Linked DNA regions of Oryctolagus cuniculus. The protein of the gene in region 1 interacts with the protein of each later gene in a pairwise test. Links are inferred from orthologs where the notes say so. Each region holds a gene or a part of one and is shown in the gene's direction. Other genes may lie near its edges. The genes, in order: ERBB4, CFL1, HDAC6 and DLG4.

What was found.
Region 2: the proteins of ERBB4 (region 1) and CFL1 interact in a protein complementation assay, tested with the Homo sapiens proteins (2 studies listed by BioGRID and IntAct, with this or other methods). The link is inferred for Oryctolagus cuniculus from reciprocal best matches to the Homo sapiens genes ERBB4 and CFL1.
Region 3: the proteins of ERBB4 (region 1) and HDAC6 interact in a protein complementation assay, tested with the Homo sapiens proteins (2 studies listed by BioGRID and IntAct, with this or other methods). The link is inferred for Oryctolagus cuniculus from reciprocal best matches to the Homo sapiens genes ERBB4 and HDAC6.
Region 4: the proteins of ERBB4 (region 1) and DLG4 interact in binary tests that used the Homo sapiens proteins (3 or more experiments, as listed by UniProt). The link is inferred for Oryctolagus cuniculus from reciprocal best matches to the Homo sapiens genes ERBB4 and DLG4.

What each region holds. Positions count from the first base shown.
Region 1 is NC_091434.1:26,982,596-26,986,822, forward strand, and holds the start of ERBB4 (receptor tyrosine-protein kinase erbB-4), read left to right. Parts: upstream 1-1,359; 5' UTR 1,360-2,044; coding exon 2,045-2,126; intron 2,127-2,133; exon of another isoform or gene 2,134-4,227. UniProt on the Homo sapiens protein: Tyrosine-protein kinase that plays an essential role as cell surface receptor for neuregulins and EGF family members and regulates development of the heart, the central nervous system and the mammary gland, gene transcription, cell proliferation, differentiation, migration and apoptosis.
Region 2 is NC_091432.1:5,909,948-5,914,326, forward strand, and holds the start of CFL1 (cofilin-1), read left to right. Parts: upstream 1-1,548; 5' UTR 1,549-1,775; coding exon 1,776-1,778; intron 1,779-3,511; coding exon 3,512-3,819; intron 3,820-3,909; coding exon 3,910-3,986; intron 3,987-4,068; coding exon 4,069-4,181; 3' UTR 4,182-4,379.
Region 3 is NC_091453.1:34,007,119-34,009,627, forward strand, and holds the end of HDAC6 (histone deacetylase 6), read left to right. Parts: intron 1-3; coding exon 4-626; intron 627-709; coding exon 710-829; intron 830-958; coding exon 959-1,105; intron 1,106-1,196; coding exon 1,197-1,325; coding exon of another isoform or gene 1,326-1,349; exon of another isoform or gene 1,350-1,397; intron 1,398-1,575; coding exon 1,576-1,644; 3' UTR 1,645-2,009; downstream 2,010-2,509.
Region 4 is NC_091448.1:51,825,388-51,829,437, reverse strand, and holds the start of DLG4 (disks large homolog 4), read left to right. Parts: upstream 1-1,250; 5' UTR 1,251-1,485; coding exon 1,486-1,504; intron 1,505-1,684; coding exon 1,685-1,783; intron 1,784-1,964; coding exon 1,965-2,005; intron 2,006-2,690; exon of another isoform or gene 2,691-3,091; coding exon of another isoform or gene 3,092-3,121; intron 3,122-4,050. Other genes in the region: ACADVL (very long-chain specific acyl-CoA dehydrogenase, mitochondrial), read right to left, coding at 185-260, 344-405. UniProt on the Homo sapiens protein: Postsynaptic scaffolding protein that plays a critical role in synaptogenesis and synaptic plasticity by providing a platform for the postsynaptic clustering of crucial synaptic proteins.

The sequences.
Region 1 (4,227 bases):
CTTGGTTTCTCCCTGCCCTAGGCTGCTTTTGGGTAAAAAAGCATGCTCAGCTTGTTTTGTCTCTTTGCTGGGCCTAGGAAAGAGAGAGAAGCTTTTTTTTGGGGGGGGGGGTGCGTAGGAAAGAGAAACTCCAGGCTTCTGCTCTTCCTATCTGTTCCAGGGAGATTCTTAAGGGACAGGGCTAGAGATAAAAGATGTGGGAGAGAAAAGGGAAGGTCCCAGTTGATGACAGAAGATACAGGGTGGTTTGATTTTTAAGTTCCCAGGTACTTTTTATTTATATATTTCCTATTTGTAGAGAAACCAAAAAAGGAAAATGATTAGTACGTAGTATGCCTGCGCAAATAGCAAACCCATAACCTACTAACCCCAGGAGATTTTGGCTCCTGTCCTGGGTAGTTTCAGAGCTGTAAGAGGTATGGGGTATGTACGTGGAGAGTCTCCAATTCCAGGATATAGTAATTAGATTCAGAAACCTCTCAGAGAATCCCAAAGCTACCAGTGACCCGGGGATTAGGGAGCCTAACTGGCAGAGAACACGGAAGTGTCTCCAGCTGCGTCTACTACTAGAATAAACCTCATCATTTGAGGTCCATTACATTCTGACATGGCCGCCTTAAATTCTTTCAGACCCAACAGTTCAGGCTTGGAACGTTTTTGAGCCCTTTAAAAGCAAATTAGCAGTTGGGCTAGAATGTGCCTAGAGAGAATGAACCCCAGACAAGTGGTCCAGAGAAAAGGCAGCATGGCCCATGAGAATCTGAAAGTCAATGATGTGGTTCTGCCAATGCAGATTTTTAGTTTGGTTCAGAGTCTTCCCGTTTGGCCGGGTGTAACTGGGGAAGGGGGATGATTACCGCGGAGGACGACCTGGTGTGCTGGGGCTACCAGTTACCGAACTCTCCTGTAAATTACCTTCTAAGCGTGGAGCATGACTGTTTTTTTTTTTTTTGGGGGGGGGGGAGGGTTTGCACATCCTTTTACTGAAGAAAGTTCTGTCTGTGGATGAGCACTGTGGGGCAATGGAGAAAAAAAAAAAATCTGTCCTCTAAGCATCCTAACGGTGGTCTGTCCCCTCGCGGGCCAGCTGTCCCGTCCTCCGCCGGGGCGGGAAGGAGAGTGTTTCGGTCCACGGATTCGGGTGAGCCCTTTAAATCCAGCCTCCCCGCCCCCACCTCCCCGTTGCCTCTCTCTGACAGGTGTTTTCCCAACTCTGGAGGCTGAGGATTTTGGGGAGTGGCTGAGCCAATAAGATCTCCCTTTTTGGGGGGGGGGAAGGGCGTGGCCAGCTGGGTCAGAGCAGGGGCGGGGTTTGTGCCGCTGAGCCGAGCTTGCCTGGTTGCGTGGAGGGTTGTTTTATCCCCCCCCCCCCACCGTCCCCACCGCCCCCCACCTTTTTTTTATTTATTTCGGAGTCTTATTAATTTCTCTGTGGGGCTGCAGCTGGAGACCGCGGAGCGTTGGAAATGACGCTCGGAGCTTTAATTACCGCAGCCGCTGGACAAGTGTGAGGAAAGCTGACAGGAACAAGGACAGGATCGGGGGAGACGCCAGCAGCTCCCCCCGCCTCCCGATTTGGACTGGAGGTGCAAGGAAACTGAAAAGGGAGCCGAACATAGCCCGGCTTGGGGGGGGAGAGGCCGGAAACCTACCGCCTCTTTGCAATCAACTTTTTTTGGAAACCTTTCTCTCCCCTTCCTTTTTATTGTTGACCAACCAGTGAGAGAGAGAAAGTGAAGAGAGAGCGAGAGCGCGAAGCTCCCACGGGGAAAATAGCTGCACAGTCCGCCCGGAGCAGCCCGCGCCACCCGGGAGCGCTCCCCGGCGCGCTCCGCGACGCCCACTCCTCTACGGCCGGCCCGGCCCTGGGCCCGCGGGCGCGGACTCGGTCGCCCGCGCTGGGGAGCCGCTGGACCGCGCGCGCCGCGCCCGCCCCCTCGCGCCCCCACTCGCGTCGGACTGGGGGAATCTCCTCCGCGTGCCCGAAAGGGGCTATGCCAGTTGGACATGTAATTGTCAGCACGGGACCTGAGACTTCCAAAAAATGAAGCTGGCGACAGGACTGTGGGTCTGGGTGAGCCTTCTCGTGGCGGCGGGGACCGTCCAGCCCGGCGCTTCTCAGTCAGGTGGGTCGCGCTCCTTCTCGCGCTCCAGCAGTTGAACCTGTCGCCGCCGCCGCCGCCGGCTAGGCTGCCTCGGTGGCTCCCCTGCCGTCTTTGCCCACCCCGACCCCGGCTCGCCCCCAGGCGCGGAGGGACCCCTGGACTGGGGCCTCTGGCACCGGCTCCCGGTCACCCCTTTCTTTCTCCATCCTAAACTTACCCTGTGTGTATGTGCGCGGGCGCGCAAGTGTTTTATTTATCGTGAAAAATTACTCTGCACCCCATGACCCTTTCCCCCCCTCTCTCCTTAAGCCACCTTCTTTCTCCCTCGCGTGTTTTCCCTGTGCCTAAGCGGGCTCGCTGCTAGTCGCGCCTGTTGTTCGGACGCGGGAGACCCAGACCCTCAGCCAGAGGAGCCCTCCGGTCTCGGACTCTGTGCCCTCAAGGCAACAAGCCGCAAAGGAAGGCGCACCGCAGGAGCCTGGGCAGGGCTGGGGTCCCGGGGTGGTGCTGGCCGGGCTGCTCCGCAGCCCGCGGGCTGTGGAGCGTGCAGCTCCGAGAACCAGGCTGTGCACCTGTGTGTGCTCCCTGTGGCCGCTGCGCCCCCAGTCGCCCGAGGTTTGCGGGGTCAGGCACGACTGGAGCCCAGCCTGGGCAGCCTGGAGAGCGCGGCGGGCGGGCGTGCCTCGGCCCGGGCCTGGAACTGCCAGCCTCCTCGGCTGGCGTCCCGGAGTCCCTCGCCCCATTGACTCGAGGGGTGCTTGCTTGCATGCCTGTCCTATTAAAAAAAATTAAAAGAGGCTTGGCACGTTGAGCTAGGAGCCCGGCCTTCCCGTCGGTGGCTGTGTTTGGCTCCGGGAGGAGTTCTTCCTGTAGTTCAACTTGCTATTGGCCGGACTCCCTCCAACTTCTCTGTTTACTGCCCGGCCGGGCTGCGGAGCCTGCCGGTCGCGCGAATTGATTTAACCCGAGGCGGGCGCGGCGGCTGCGCTCCCGGGCGCGGTCAGTGTTTGCTGGAGAGCTTGAGCCCCAGGTACCTGGACAGGCAAAGGGCTAATTGACCCCGAGGGGCCGCGCAGGGGGCTGGCGCGCCGCAGCGGGCAGGGCTAATGACAGCAGCACCTGCAGGGACAGGGGAGCTCTAAGTTTCCAACACTGGGAGTTTCCTGGGGATGACCTGGGGACTGGAAAGGAATGAGGAGAACCGGTGTCTGACGCGGCCAAGGTGGGGGGTGGTGGTGGTGGTGGCCTCTGGAGAGCCCGGGGGAGATTTCCGGAGCCGTTTGGGGTTGCTGGCGAGAGCGTGGGAGGCAGCTTGAGGAGATAAAGCCCCTGGGAGTGGCGATAGGGCGAGCTTTAGGCCTCCGGAGGGTGTCCTCCTGACCTCGCCAAGAGAACGGCGGCTCGCGGTAGTTTCCCCGCTCCGCCCCCGCCTCCCCCTCGCTGCCTAGTAAATAACAAGTTCCAATCATGGAGCCTTTCAGAATGACCTTCGCCTGGCACATGTGCGCCGTTTGCACCCTCCCAATTACTCCGAAATTCTTCATGCATACCAGGTCCCGCGCTCCAGCCACCTCGGGAATTGCACCGTCTCGAGATTCCAAGCGGCCTCTTAGATACATCCCTTTTTATCTGCCTCCCCACTCCCAGTCCCTTCATATTTTCCCTCAATGGGTTGATTATGCACATTGACCCATTCAAAAACAGTTGCGACCGACAGGCAGGCTGAGGCGGGAGGAATTTCTAGGAGGCGACCTACTGGGGGCTGTCTGGTTCAGCCTCTGCCGCTGGAGGACCCGCTCCCGGTACGCAGCAATTTGGTATTAACTGTGCGGCGCGGGGCTGAGCTATTCCGAAAAGCCCTTTTCAGAATTTCTGCAAGGAATGTAATCCAAATTAGTTCTGCAGCTGTCCTCTTCCTCGTCTCAGGCGACACCAGCTCTTGCCCTCGCTCGTCTCTTCTCCTTTCCCTGGGCGAATTGTCAGACCCACAAGTGAGCCCATTTAGAGCGCGAGGATTAGCGTGCCATTGTTGTTCCGAGTGTGACTCTGTACTTGAAATTCTGGGGGCACAAAGGAGAGCCTCACTTGTTCAGAACACAAAGTGATCCAGATGAAAGGGCCG
Region 2 (4,379 bases), on another chromosome or scaffold:
GGAGCGCAGGTGCCTCTGTGGGAGGGGGCGTGAGGAGACTCCAAGAGACTGGGGGCGGGGGACAGCGGAGCGCAGGTGCCTCTGAGGTGCCTCTGTGGATAGGGGGCACGAGAAGAGTCCAGGAAGGGCGGGGGACAGCGGAGCGCAGGTGCCTCTGTGGGTACGGGCTCGGGGAGAGTCCAGGAGACTGGGGGCGCGGGACAGAGAAGCGCAGGTGCATCTGTGGATAGGGGCTCGAGGAGAGTCCAGGAGACTGGGGGCGGGGGATAGCGGAGCGCAGGTGCATCTGTGGGAGGGGGCGTGAGGAGACTCCAGGAGACTGGGGTCGGGGGACAGCGGAGCGCAGGTGCCTCTGTGGGTAGGGGCTCTGGGGTGTGCGGCGGCGGAAGCCCTAGCTGGGCGGACTGGGGTGAGAGCAGAGGCGCTGTGTGCGTCCCGGCAGGTGTGGCGGCCAGAGGGGCGCACGTGAGCCGCTCCGGGGCTGAGGCTCCCCGGCTCGGGGGCTCGGTGGAGGCGCGGGACCCCCTTCCCCCAGCGAGGTTTGGAGATGGAACTCGGTGGGCCCAGGTTGAGCGACACGTAAGCAGGTGCTTCGGCGCAGGGAGGGGGAGCGGGCCCTGCTGGCGTCCGCAGCAGTCCCAGGTCGAGAGCGGGCGAACCCCAAGCAGGGGCGTGCGGGGCCCGGGACCCCCCGAGAGGGCCGGAGGGGCGGGCGCCGGGGCCCAGCCCGCCTCCCTCCCAGCACGGCCTTATAAGGAGCCCGAAGCCGGCGCCGCGGCCGGCTCCGCCCCCGCCAGGCTCATGTCCTAATAAGGACATCTAGGGCATCCCGCGGCCGGGGGCGGCCGCGAGCGCGTCTCCAGGGCGACTGCGGCCCCCTCCCCCTCCCGGGAAGCTGCGGGGCGCCCGGGGGTGGCGGGGCGCGGCCGCGGCCTGGTCCCCGGAGCTCCGCGGCAGGCGCCCCTGCTCGGGGGCCGCGGTGGGGGCCCGGGCCGAGGACATCCTCCGGAGCTCTGCTCTCCCGCTCGCTCGCTCGCTCGCGCCTCGGCTCTGCCCGCGTTAAACCGTGCACCTGTGCACCCGAGAGCCAGGCCCAAGTCTGGCCTCACACGCGTTTCCTCTCCTCACCGCCTGACAGCCCTGAATTTGCAAAACACCTGAAAATAAATGAATAAACCACACAGAGTCCTCGCGGCTTCCCCTGTGTTTTCTATTCTTTTTGCCGTGGGAGCCGCATCCGCCTTTTTCTCTGGGGACGAGCGCAGCTTTGCCGATTCTCCCGGTGTAGGGCCGGGTCCCAGCCCAGCGAACAGCCGCTTCCTGTCGGGAAAGCAACGCCCCCCGCCACCCTCGGCCGCCGCAGACCCGAGGTCTCCAGACACCCGTCCCGCGCCGGGATCTGGAGCCTCTGAGGGATCCTTTTCGGGTCACTTCGCCAGCGCGCCCGCCTTTCCTGGGACGCTCGGCCAATGGGCGCGCGCTGCGCGCGGAGGCCCCGCCCCTCGCGGCCCCGGCCTACACCTCCCGGCGTGCACCGCGGGGCCGGCCGAGGGAGCCGGCGGGCGACTCGGCGCGCCCGCCGGCCGCGCGGACTCCATTTCCCGTCGGCCCCGCGAGGGAGCGCCGGAAGCCCGCCCCGCCCCTCATTGTGCGGCTCCTACTAAACGGAAGGGGCCGGGAGAGGCCGCGTTCAGTCGGGTCCAGGCAGCAGCTGCGGCGGCTCTCGTCTCCTCCGCCTTCTGCCCCCTTGCCATCTTCCTCTCGCTTCCGGAAACATGGTGAGCGGCAGGCCGCGGCGGCCGAGGGGAGGCGGCCGAGGGCGACGGCGGAGCGGGAGCTGCAGCCCGGCCCCGAGCGCCCCGGGCGGGATGAGGGGGTCTCGCCCCGGGAGGCGGGCGGCGCCGGGACGCGCGTGCGCGCTCGTGGGCGCCGCGAAGGGCCGGCTCGGACGTCGCTCGCGCGCCCCCTGGCCTCCCCTCCCCCACCGCGCTGCTGCGCCCGCGCGGGCCGCGGCCGTGGGGGAGGGGGCGCGGGCGCGCGCCCCTCGCGGAGCCGCCGGCGTCGCGCGCCGTCTCGCGGGGGCGCGCGCCCCTCCGGAGCACGCGGCGCCCGAGCCCGGCCCCGGGGGCGGCGAGGCAGCAGGCGCGCGCGCCCCACCCCACCCTGGCGCGGTCCCGGCCCCGCGCCCCTCCCGCGGCGAGAGCAGGTGGCTGGGGCTGCGGGCCTGCGGCGCGCGGCTCGGCGCGGGGTCCCGCCGGGGCGCGAGCTGGAGCGGCGCTGCCGGCCGGCGCGTGCGCACACGCGCGGTCGCGGCCGCCGGGGGTCGCGGCAGCCCCCCTGGGCTACCGGGGCTTCGGCTCTCCCGGCTGGGCCCGGAAGAGGGAGCCGAGTTTAGGGAAGTGATCCAGGCAGGCGCCGCCTGGAAACCACCCCGCATCCTGTGTCCGGCCCGACGGCCGCGGGGACCGAGGTCCCCTGGGCAGGCGGCGGACAGGCCGGGGCGGCCCTGGGCGGCAGGCCAGCGGCCCTGCTGGCGGTTCCGGGGAACGGAGGGCCCTGGAGGCGCCGCTGCCCCTCGGATTCGAGGTTTTCTTGGGCAGAGGGCCGGGGCTCTCGGTGTCCTCTCCCCGCCCACTCCGGAAGCGGCTGGGTCACGTGGCCAGCTTCCTCTGCAGTTGGGGGGTGCAGATTTCCCCATCGTGGACAGTCGCTCCCCCTCCTGGCCAGGGCGCCCCGGGCCTGATGCAGAGCTCTCGGGGGCCTGGGGCGCCGCAGTTGGCTTGTTAAGTTTTTTTTTTTAATATTTGTTTATCTGAAAGGCAGGGAGGTCTTCCATCCGCTGGTTCCCTCCCCAAACGGCCGCCACAGCCGGGTGTAGGCCAGGCTGGAGCCGGGAGCCCGACACGCCGTCCTGGGGTCCTGCGCAGGTGGCAGGGGCCCACGCACTTGGGCCGTCCTCTGCCCCTGCGGGCGTAGGGAGGAAGCTGGCTGGGCAGCGAGCGCTCCCGTGTGGGGTGCCGCCACTGCACTCCTTCGATTCGTTCCCGTGGCCTCTGGGGCCCTTGGCCACCCGCAGAGGCTGGGGGCTGTGGTTCCTGCCTTGGTTGGGAGAGACCCCAGTCGGGAAGCAGGTGCCTGCATTCTGTCTGACCCACTTGCTGGAACGGCAGGGCCTCCGTGGGCGCTCCTGCCGACGTCCTGGGGGCCTGGTCGCCTCCTGAAGAGGAGGCGGGGGCTGAAGTGTTTGGGCCCCCTCTCAGCTCTGGCGGGCTCGGTGGGCAGCTCTGTTCAGGGCCGAGACGGTGCCGGGAGCAGGACTGGGCGGCCCGGAGCCCCTCTCTGGACCCGCACCTCGGCAGAGGCTCTGCTCCCACGGGTCCTCACCGTCGGGGCCGTGGAAAGCAGGAAGGGCGCTGGGCTGTCCAGGCCGAGTGACCGCCCGGGGCGTGGGCTGGGAGGGCCCCGGGCGGCGTTCCGGCCTCTCACGCAGTCGCCCCCCGCCCGTTCGCAGGCCTCCGGCGTGGCTGTCTCTGACGGCGTCATCAAGGTGTTCAACGACATGAAGGTGCGCAAGTCGTCGACGCCCGAGGAGGTGAAGAAGCGCAAGAAGGCGGTGCTGTTCTGCCTGAGCGAGGACAAGAAGAACATCGTGCTGGAGGAGGGCAAGGAGATCCTGGTGGGCGACGTGGGCCAGACCGTGGAGGACCCCTACGCCACCTTCGTGCAGATGCTGCCCGACAAGGACTGCCGCTACGCCCTCTACGACGCCACCTACGAGACCAAGGAGAGCAAGAAGGAGGACCTGGTGTTCATCTTCTGGTGAGCGGGGCTGCGGGAGGGCGGCGCCGCGGGAGCCGGGAGCCGGGAGGGGCGGTGCGGGCCGCGAGTTCCTGCCTCGTGTCTCTCCAGGGCCCCCGAGTGTGCGCCCCTCAAGAGCAAAATGATCTACGCCAGCTCCAAGGACGCCATCAAGAAGAAGCTGACAGGTGAGGGCCGGGCCTGGGCTGCCGGGAGCCGGGAGCCGGGAGCCGGCCCCTGCCTCCGCTCACAGATGCCCCCTCCCCACAGGAATCAAGCATGAATTGCAAGCCAACTGCTACGAGGAGGTGAAGGACCGCTGCACCCTGGCGGAGAAGCTGGGGGGCAGCGCCGTCATCTCCCTGGAGGGCAAGCCCTTGTGAGCCCCCAGCCCCCGCCCGGCGCATCTGACAGCCCCAGACCTGCCCTTGGGGGTTGCAGGCTGCCCCCTCCCTGCCAGGCCGGAGGGGCTGGGGGGATTCCAGCAGGGGGAGGGCAATTCCTTCGCCCCAGTTGCCAAACAGCCCCCCTCCCCCTGGACCCTCCTCCCCCTCCCATCCCTGACGGTTCTGGCCGCCCCA
Region 3 (2,509 bases), on another chromosome or scaffold:
CAGAGGTAGAAGACAAGGAGGGACTGTTCAGTTTTAAGTCAGCTACCAAGAAGCCACCTCGACCAGCTAATCGTGGGCCAGCTGAGGGGATGACCACACCAGAAAAGAATGTTCTGGAAGCAGGCACGGGGAAGGCCACCTCAGCCCTATCTGCAGGAGAGTCCATTCCAGGCCATACTGAATCAGAGACAGCTGTGATGCTCCCTGAGGCCCATTCCTCACAGGCAGCCACAAGGTTAGCCACCCTGTACCACACCACCTCAGAGGTGGGCATGGGAGGAGCCATGATGGACCAGACCACCTGGGAAGCAGCCACAGGGGTAGCCACACCAGACCAGACCACCTCAGAGGAGTCTGTGGGCGGAACCTCACTGGACCAGACCACCTCAGAGGTTTCCATGGGGGAAGCCATGCTGGACAGTATCATTTCAGAGGAAGGAGACACGCTGAACCAGAACACCTCAGAGGAGGCTGTGAGGGCAGCCAAGCTGATCCAAACTCCTCTAGCCTCAAGCATAGATAACCAGACGCCCCCAACCTCACCTGTGCCAGGAGCCATATCCCAGATATCCCCTAGTCAGCTGACTAGGAGTCTCAGAACCTTGAAACTAAGCGATGAAGCTCAGGTAAGGCCCACAACACCCAGGTAGAGGGAAGAAGGGCCAAGAGTCTGGCCTCTTCGATACACCTTTTGCTTCTGTGTGTCCAGAAGACCTCAGAATCTCAGATTCCAGAAGAGGAGGGCCTACTAGCAGAGGCAGCTGGAGGTCGGGATGTGGATGATGTGACACTGATGCAGGGACCAGGGAACCTTGCTGACACTGACCAGGTGAGCTCAGGGAGAGGCTGGGTTGCAGCCTCCTCTTACCTATCCACATCTTCAGGTAGGAGATGTGATGCAGGAACATATAATGGGGGAATAGGACCCCCCCAGCTGACTCAGTTTCATCCACTCCAGGCCATGTTTTATGCTGTGACACCAATGTCCTGGTGTCCTCATTTGGTGGCAGTAAGCCCCAAACCTGCAACAGGCCTGAATGTGACTCAACCTTGTCAAGACTGTGGAACACTCGAGGAAAATTGGGTGTGTCTGTCTTGCTATGAGGTATGGAGCAGAGGAGGGGATTGGGGTGGAGGCTGGTCCAGGAGCAAACTTTGGTAGGTGCTGACCCCTGCCTGATACTCCCCAACCTCAGGTCTACTGCAGCCGTTTTGTCAATGCCCATATGATCCAACACCATGAAGCCTCTGGACACCCACTGGTCCTCAGCTACGTTGACCTGTCTGCCTGGTGTTACCTCTGCCAGGCCTATGTCCACCACCAGGTGGGCCCCGGGCAGACCCTCTAATGTGCAAACTCATGGCCCAAACATGTACATGCACTACTTATGTGATGGGTAAGGGGAGAGCACAGATCCCTTTGCACAATTGCCTCAGGATCCTTTTTTGTATTGTGGGGGCTGTGGGATAGCCCAGGAGACAGAGTGGTTGAAGACTGGAGTGGAGGCAAGCCTCCTGGCTGAGGCAGAGTGTTCTGCACTCTCTCTCACCTACCCTGTTCTTGCTACTCCCCAGGCTCTCCTAGATGTGAAGAACACGGTGCACCAGAACAAGTTTGGGGAGGACATGCCCCACCCACACTAAGTCCCAGAACGTGCTCCCTCTTCTCCACCTTCTGAGGCCCAAGACAGACCAGCCTTAGTTCATTCCAAGCTCTACCTTGGATGAGGGGGAGCCTCTCTCTCCATCTCGACTTAAATATCCTTTGCAACTCCTCAAGGGTGCTTATTTAAGTGTATATACTTTTAAAAGGACTGTGATGATCAGTTGTGGATTTTCCCCTGCCCACAACCTGCTCAAGGGACAACACTACCCCACCCCACAAGGAAAAGAGGAGCTCAATGTTTCCAAAGGGGTGCTGCAATCACAAAGGCTAACACTGGAGGAAGGGGGGAGCAACTGGCAGGTGTGGAGGGGTTGTGTATGTAATAAAGTGTGAAGTTACAAAACATGGAGAAAGCGTTTTAACTTTGAGTAGGTAGAGAATCCTGCATCCCAGGCCAATGAGAAATGAAGGAATATGGAATGGGTCTTCATCAGTTCAACCTTTCCCTCACCACCCATTGCACAAAAAAACCAACTCATTGAAAATATACCAGGCAGCTCCAGTAGAGTAAGTGGTAGAAACCATTAGAAAATGAATATCTGATTTAGAAATACAAGGATACTCCAAAAAGTTCATGGAAAATAGAATTTATAGGTATGTTTAGTTTGGTGCAAAAATTTGAAATCCATGCATACAAGGGGTCTTCACAAAGTTCATACAGGGGCTGACGCTGTAGTGCAGCAGCTTAAGCCTCTGCCTGCAGCACTGGCATCCCAAATGGGTGCTGGTTCAAGTCCCAGATGCTCCTTTTTCTGACCCAGCTCCCCGCTAGTGTGCCTGGGAAAGCAGTGGAGGATGGCCCAAGTCCCTGGGCCTCTGTACCTACATGGGAGACCTAGAAGA
Region 4 (4,050 bases), on another chromosome or scaffold:
AGAGCTGGGTGTGAGGCTTGAGCTGATCCCGTGCCTTTCCCCTAGTTTCATCCCAGGGCATCCCGGTTTGCCCTTTCCCCTACTTTCCCAGCCAAAGCTGTCAGCAGGTGACTGGCACGGGGAGGGAGACCCCTGCCGGCCGCGGGGAGGCGGGAGCCCCTCTCCCGAGGCCGCCGTCACTTACCTGAGCGGCCTCACTGGCATAGAGTCGCTGGGCAGGACCAGGCCGGGGCTGCCCCAGGAACGCACTGGGCCGCGAGCTGTGAAGAGCAGGGGTTCGGTTCTGGCTCGGTCGGTCAGGTCCGCCGGCTCCCTCTCCCCTCCCAACCCCCGTCATACACACCTTCCGCTCGCCAACCTCAGCAGCTGCCGCCCCACGCTAGGGGCCATGCGAGCCGTTCGCATCTCGGAGCCGCTCCAGCTGCCGCTGCCTCGGACGCTGACCTCGCACTCGCGTCCTGACTGTCCAAGTCTGGTGTCCCCAGCCCTGACTCATCGTCCACAATGCACCGGGCGGTGGTGGGCGGGGCTTCCGGGCGCTGGGCATGCTGGGAACTGTAGTTCCAGAGCGCCCCATCCACTGCAGTCCAGCTGACCTAGCGCGATCTCCAAGCGTCCCTTGTCTCCCCGAAACTCCTTTAAACGCCTGTCCGAATTAGAGTCTAGTCCTCTAGGGGTGAAGGGATAGGAGGGGACGGGAGAGGGAGGAACTTAGGCGGCTGCAGCTAGAGGGGCAGAGGTTAACTGAAGGGAGGACCTCCCCAACCCCATGGAGTTAGGAGAAGGGAGAAGAGACAGTCATGGAAAGGCGACTCTTGGGGTCCCTCCCGAATCTGCCTCCACCTACACAAAAGGGAGGGGAACTGTGCGCTGGGGGACTCCAACTGGGCTGTGAGCCTCTCACAGCGTGTTCTCCGCCCTAGGAGGTGCCACTCAGAACCCCTGAAATTTCACAGGAGCAGCGACCCCGGTTCACCGGCTCTTGGAAAGCCTCTGAGACCTCCCTGAACCTCCTGTCTGCCCTCTGTTATTCCAGAGTCCCTGTGGTCACCTAGACCTCAGGGCAAATGGGTTCTGCCCGGTCCCGAGAAGAACTGAATGGAAACGCTCGTTTCTTCCCACTCCCAGTCCCTTTCCTCGGCTTCTCTAGCCCTGGCCAAGAAGTCCCAAGCAATGTACACCCTTCTTTCTGCGCTTCCCCCCCGGGGGGGGTCAGGCCTGGGAGGGAGCCAGCTGGGCCCAGCTTCCTTTCTCCTTGGGGGAGACTGTCTTCTCGGCCCCTTGTGAAAGTGTGGCTGAGTTCTGCAGGCCTTGGGGGCAGGGGCCCGGGTGTGTGAAGCAAGGTGGTGGTGGTGGTGCCGCCCTGAGGGACAGCAGGCCAGTCCAGAGATGCCGCCCTCACCTAACAGCGAGAATTGAGTGGGGAGAGGGCAGCTCAACTCCAATCCCAGCGGATTAGGGGGATTAAAGCCAGAGAAGGGAGAGATGTCCCAGAGACCAAGAGGTGAAAAACAGGGGTCCTTTTGGAGGGGAGGCCTGGGAGTGAAGTGGGGGAGACTGGGACTCAGAATTCTTTCTCCCCGGTTCTTTCCACGGAGTCGCGGTGCTGGGAAGCCGAGGTGGCTGAGCGTGTCAGTCTGTGTCTCTTCCCCATCCCAACCTCCCCTCACTTGCCTTCCACCAGCTCCCAGGTCAGCCCTCTGGCTCCTGGCGCCCCCACTCTTGCGGTGGGCACCCCCGCTTCTGGCCGTGCTACACAGCGACCTCTTCCAGGCCCTGCTGGGTGAGTAGCCCCAGTTTTGTGAGGGACAGCAGGGACGAGGGCCTGGGCCTGTGAGGGCCGTCAGTGCTGGCTGGAAGCCTGGAGCCCCATGCAGGGTCCTCCCCACAGTGGCTCCGGGGTCAGAACGGGCTAGCCTGGGCTGGAGGCCAGGGAGGGTGACTCGGTTCTGTTCCTGTGACAGACATCCTGGACTATTACGAGGCTTCCATCTCAGAGAGTCAGGTAAGGAGGCAGTGGGTGCTGGCTTCTGAAGGGGTAGGGCGGTGCTGAGCAAGGTCTGGCTAATATCAGATGGGAAAATGGAGACTTGGGGGCCCTGGCCACACATCCTGGGTCGGTGGCCCAGAGACGTGAGGGCTCTGAGAATGCACTCTCTCTGGGAGGCCCTGTAGCCCCCTCTCCTTTCTTCCCCCTTGTCTTTGCATGCCCCAGTTTAGCCACTGAAGTGTCCACGACATAATTACTTTCCAGGCTTCCCGCTGTGACTCCTGAGGGAGACCTAGGCCCCCAGGGATTCCCTCCTGCCAGCCCCTCCCTCACACCAAGCCCCCTACCATGGCCTCCCTCCAGTATTTAAGCAACCAGGGGTGCTCCTAGCCCATCTCCCGGTGCTCGCTCCTCTGAGAACTGAAGTCTGCCCTCCTGGGCTTTGCTGTCCTCGCTGGTGGCTGGCCGGGTCTCCATGTTTGCTTCAGGGCCTCTCGGCGTCTGCTTCTATCTCCTTTCCCATTATCCGGGTTCCTGCCGGCACCGAAGGAGTTAACTCTGCCAAGGCACCCCCCCATTCTGGCTCCTAGCTCCCTCCCTCCCTCCCCCTGCTTCCTCTCTCCTCCTCTCTCCCCTTCCCTCCTCGGCTCCACGGCTCCCTCGGCCGCTGCCGTCTCCAGCCCCCCCACCCCACTCCCCCGCCACGGCCCCTAGCCCCTGGCCGCTTGGCAAGACCCCCCCCTACCCCGGGGCTCCCCGAAATCCGGTTCCCCTCCCCCACCCCAGCTCATGCCCCAGCCCCCGAACTCCGGGGCTGCCAGCCCCCGGTGCCCCCGCCCCTCCTGAGAATCGGGGTGTTCTCCCCAAACCCCCTCCCCTCCATTGGGGAGCCCGTTTTCGGGCCCCCTTCCCCTCCCTCCCACGCTCCCCTCCCCTTCCCTTCTCCAACCCCCTCCTTCCCCTCTCACCCCTCCCCCCATCCTGGCCCCCCCTGCAAAAGTGGGGTGCGGAGGGGGGAGGGGTGAGAACCCACGGAGGGAAGGAAGGAAACTCTGATGAAGTCAGAGCCCCTTACCCGCCACCGCGGCCAGGCCCCCCAACATGGACTGTCTCTGTATAGTGACAACCAAGGTAAGCATGATGGGGGCTGTAAGTAGGGGGGAGGGCATTAGTTGGTGGGGAGGGGTCCAGCAGGCCTTATTTGGGGCTGGAGGCCCTGGAGTGAGAGCATCAGAAGTAAGATGCATTTGGGGTGGGTAATTTAGTTTTGGGGTTCACATCTGAGAAAACGCTGAATTTGGCCACAGGTGCCCCCTGGAGTGATCCCTCTGTACCTGTAGAGAAATGGAAAATTCGGGGTGTTTCGTGGTTTGGGGGGCTGGTGGGTTTGGGGGTTCACCAGTGATGTTTGAGGGAGACTTGTTTAGAGGGAAGCCTTGGCTCACATGGGAGTTCTGCTGTGGATGGGGGAAGGTGGGCTATGTGTGTGTGTCTGGGGGGGTCTTCCCTCCCTGGGGAAAAGCTGGTTTCCAGGGGGCTTTTCCAGGTTCAGGGGGCTCCTGGCATGAGGGTAAAGGTGATTGGTTCTGTGTGCCTGACTGGTCTGGGGGTGTCAGCTGGCAGAGAAGGGGTGGGCCTGCAGGCTACAGAGCCAGCGTCTTGTGGTAGATACGTTTGGGGGTGCTGTCTCAGTTTGAGGGAACTGTGATCCGGGGTTTGGTCGCAGGGACTGGAGGCAGTTGGGACTTGTCAGAGGGCTGGGGCCTGGCACTGGGTCCCCTGAGGGAAGGGCCAGGTGAGGTTGGGGCTGGGGGTATTCCCGTGGGAAGTAGAAGCTTGCAGTAGCTGAGCTTGCCAGCCCCTGAGGAGCAGGAGGAGAGGTTTGCGGAGAGAGGGGATTTGAGGAGGGGGACCAGGTGGATGGCGTGGAATTTGAGGGTGTCCCAGGCAGGTGCCCAAGAGCCTGTTTTCTCCCACACTGCAATCAGACCTGATCAGGAGTGAGGGAGAGGAGCAGATGGCGGGGACTGTCCGTTCCCCCCGGATCAAGGTGGGGGAGG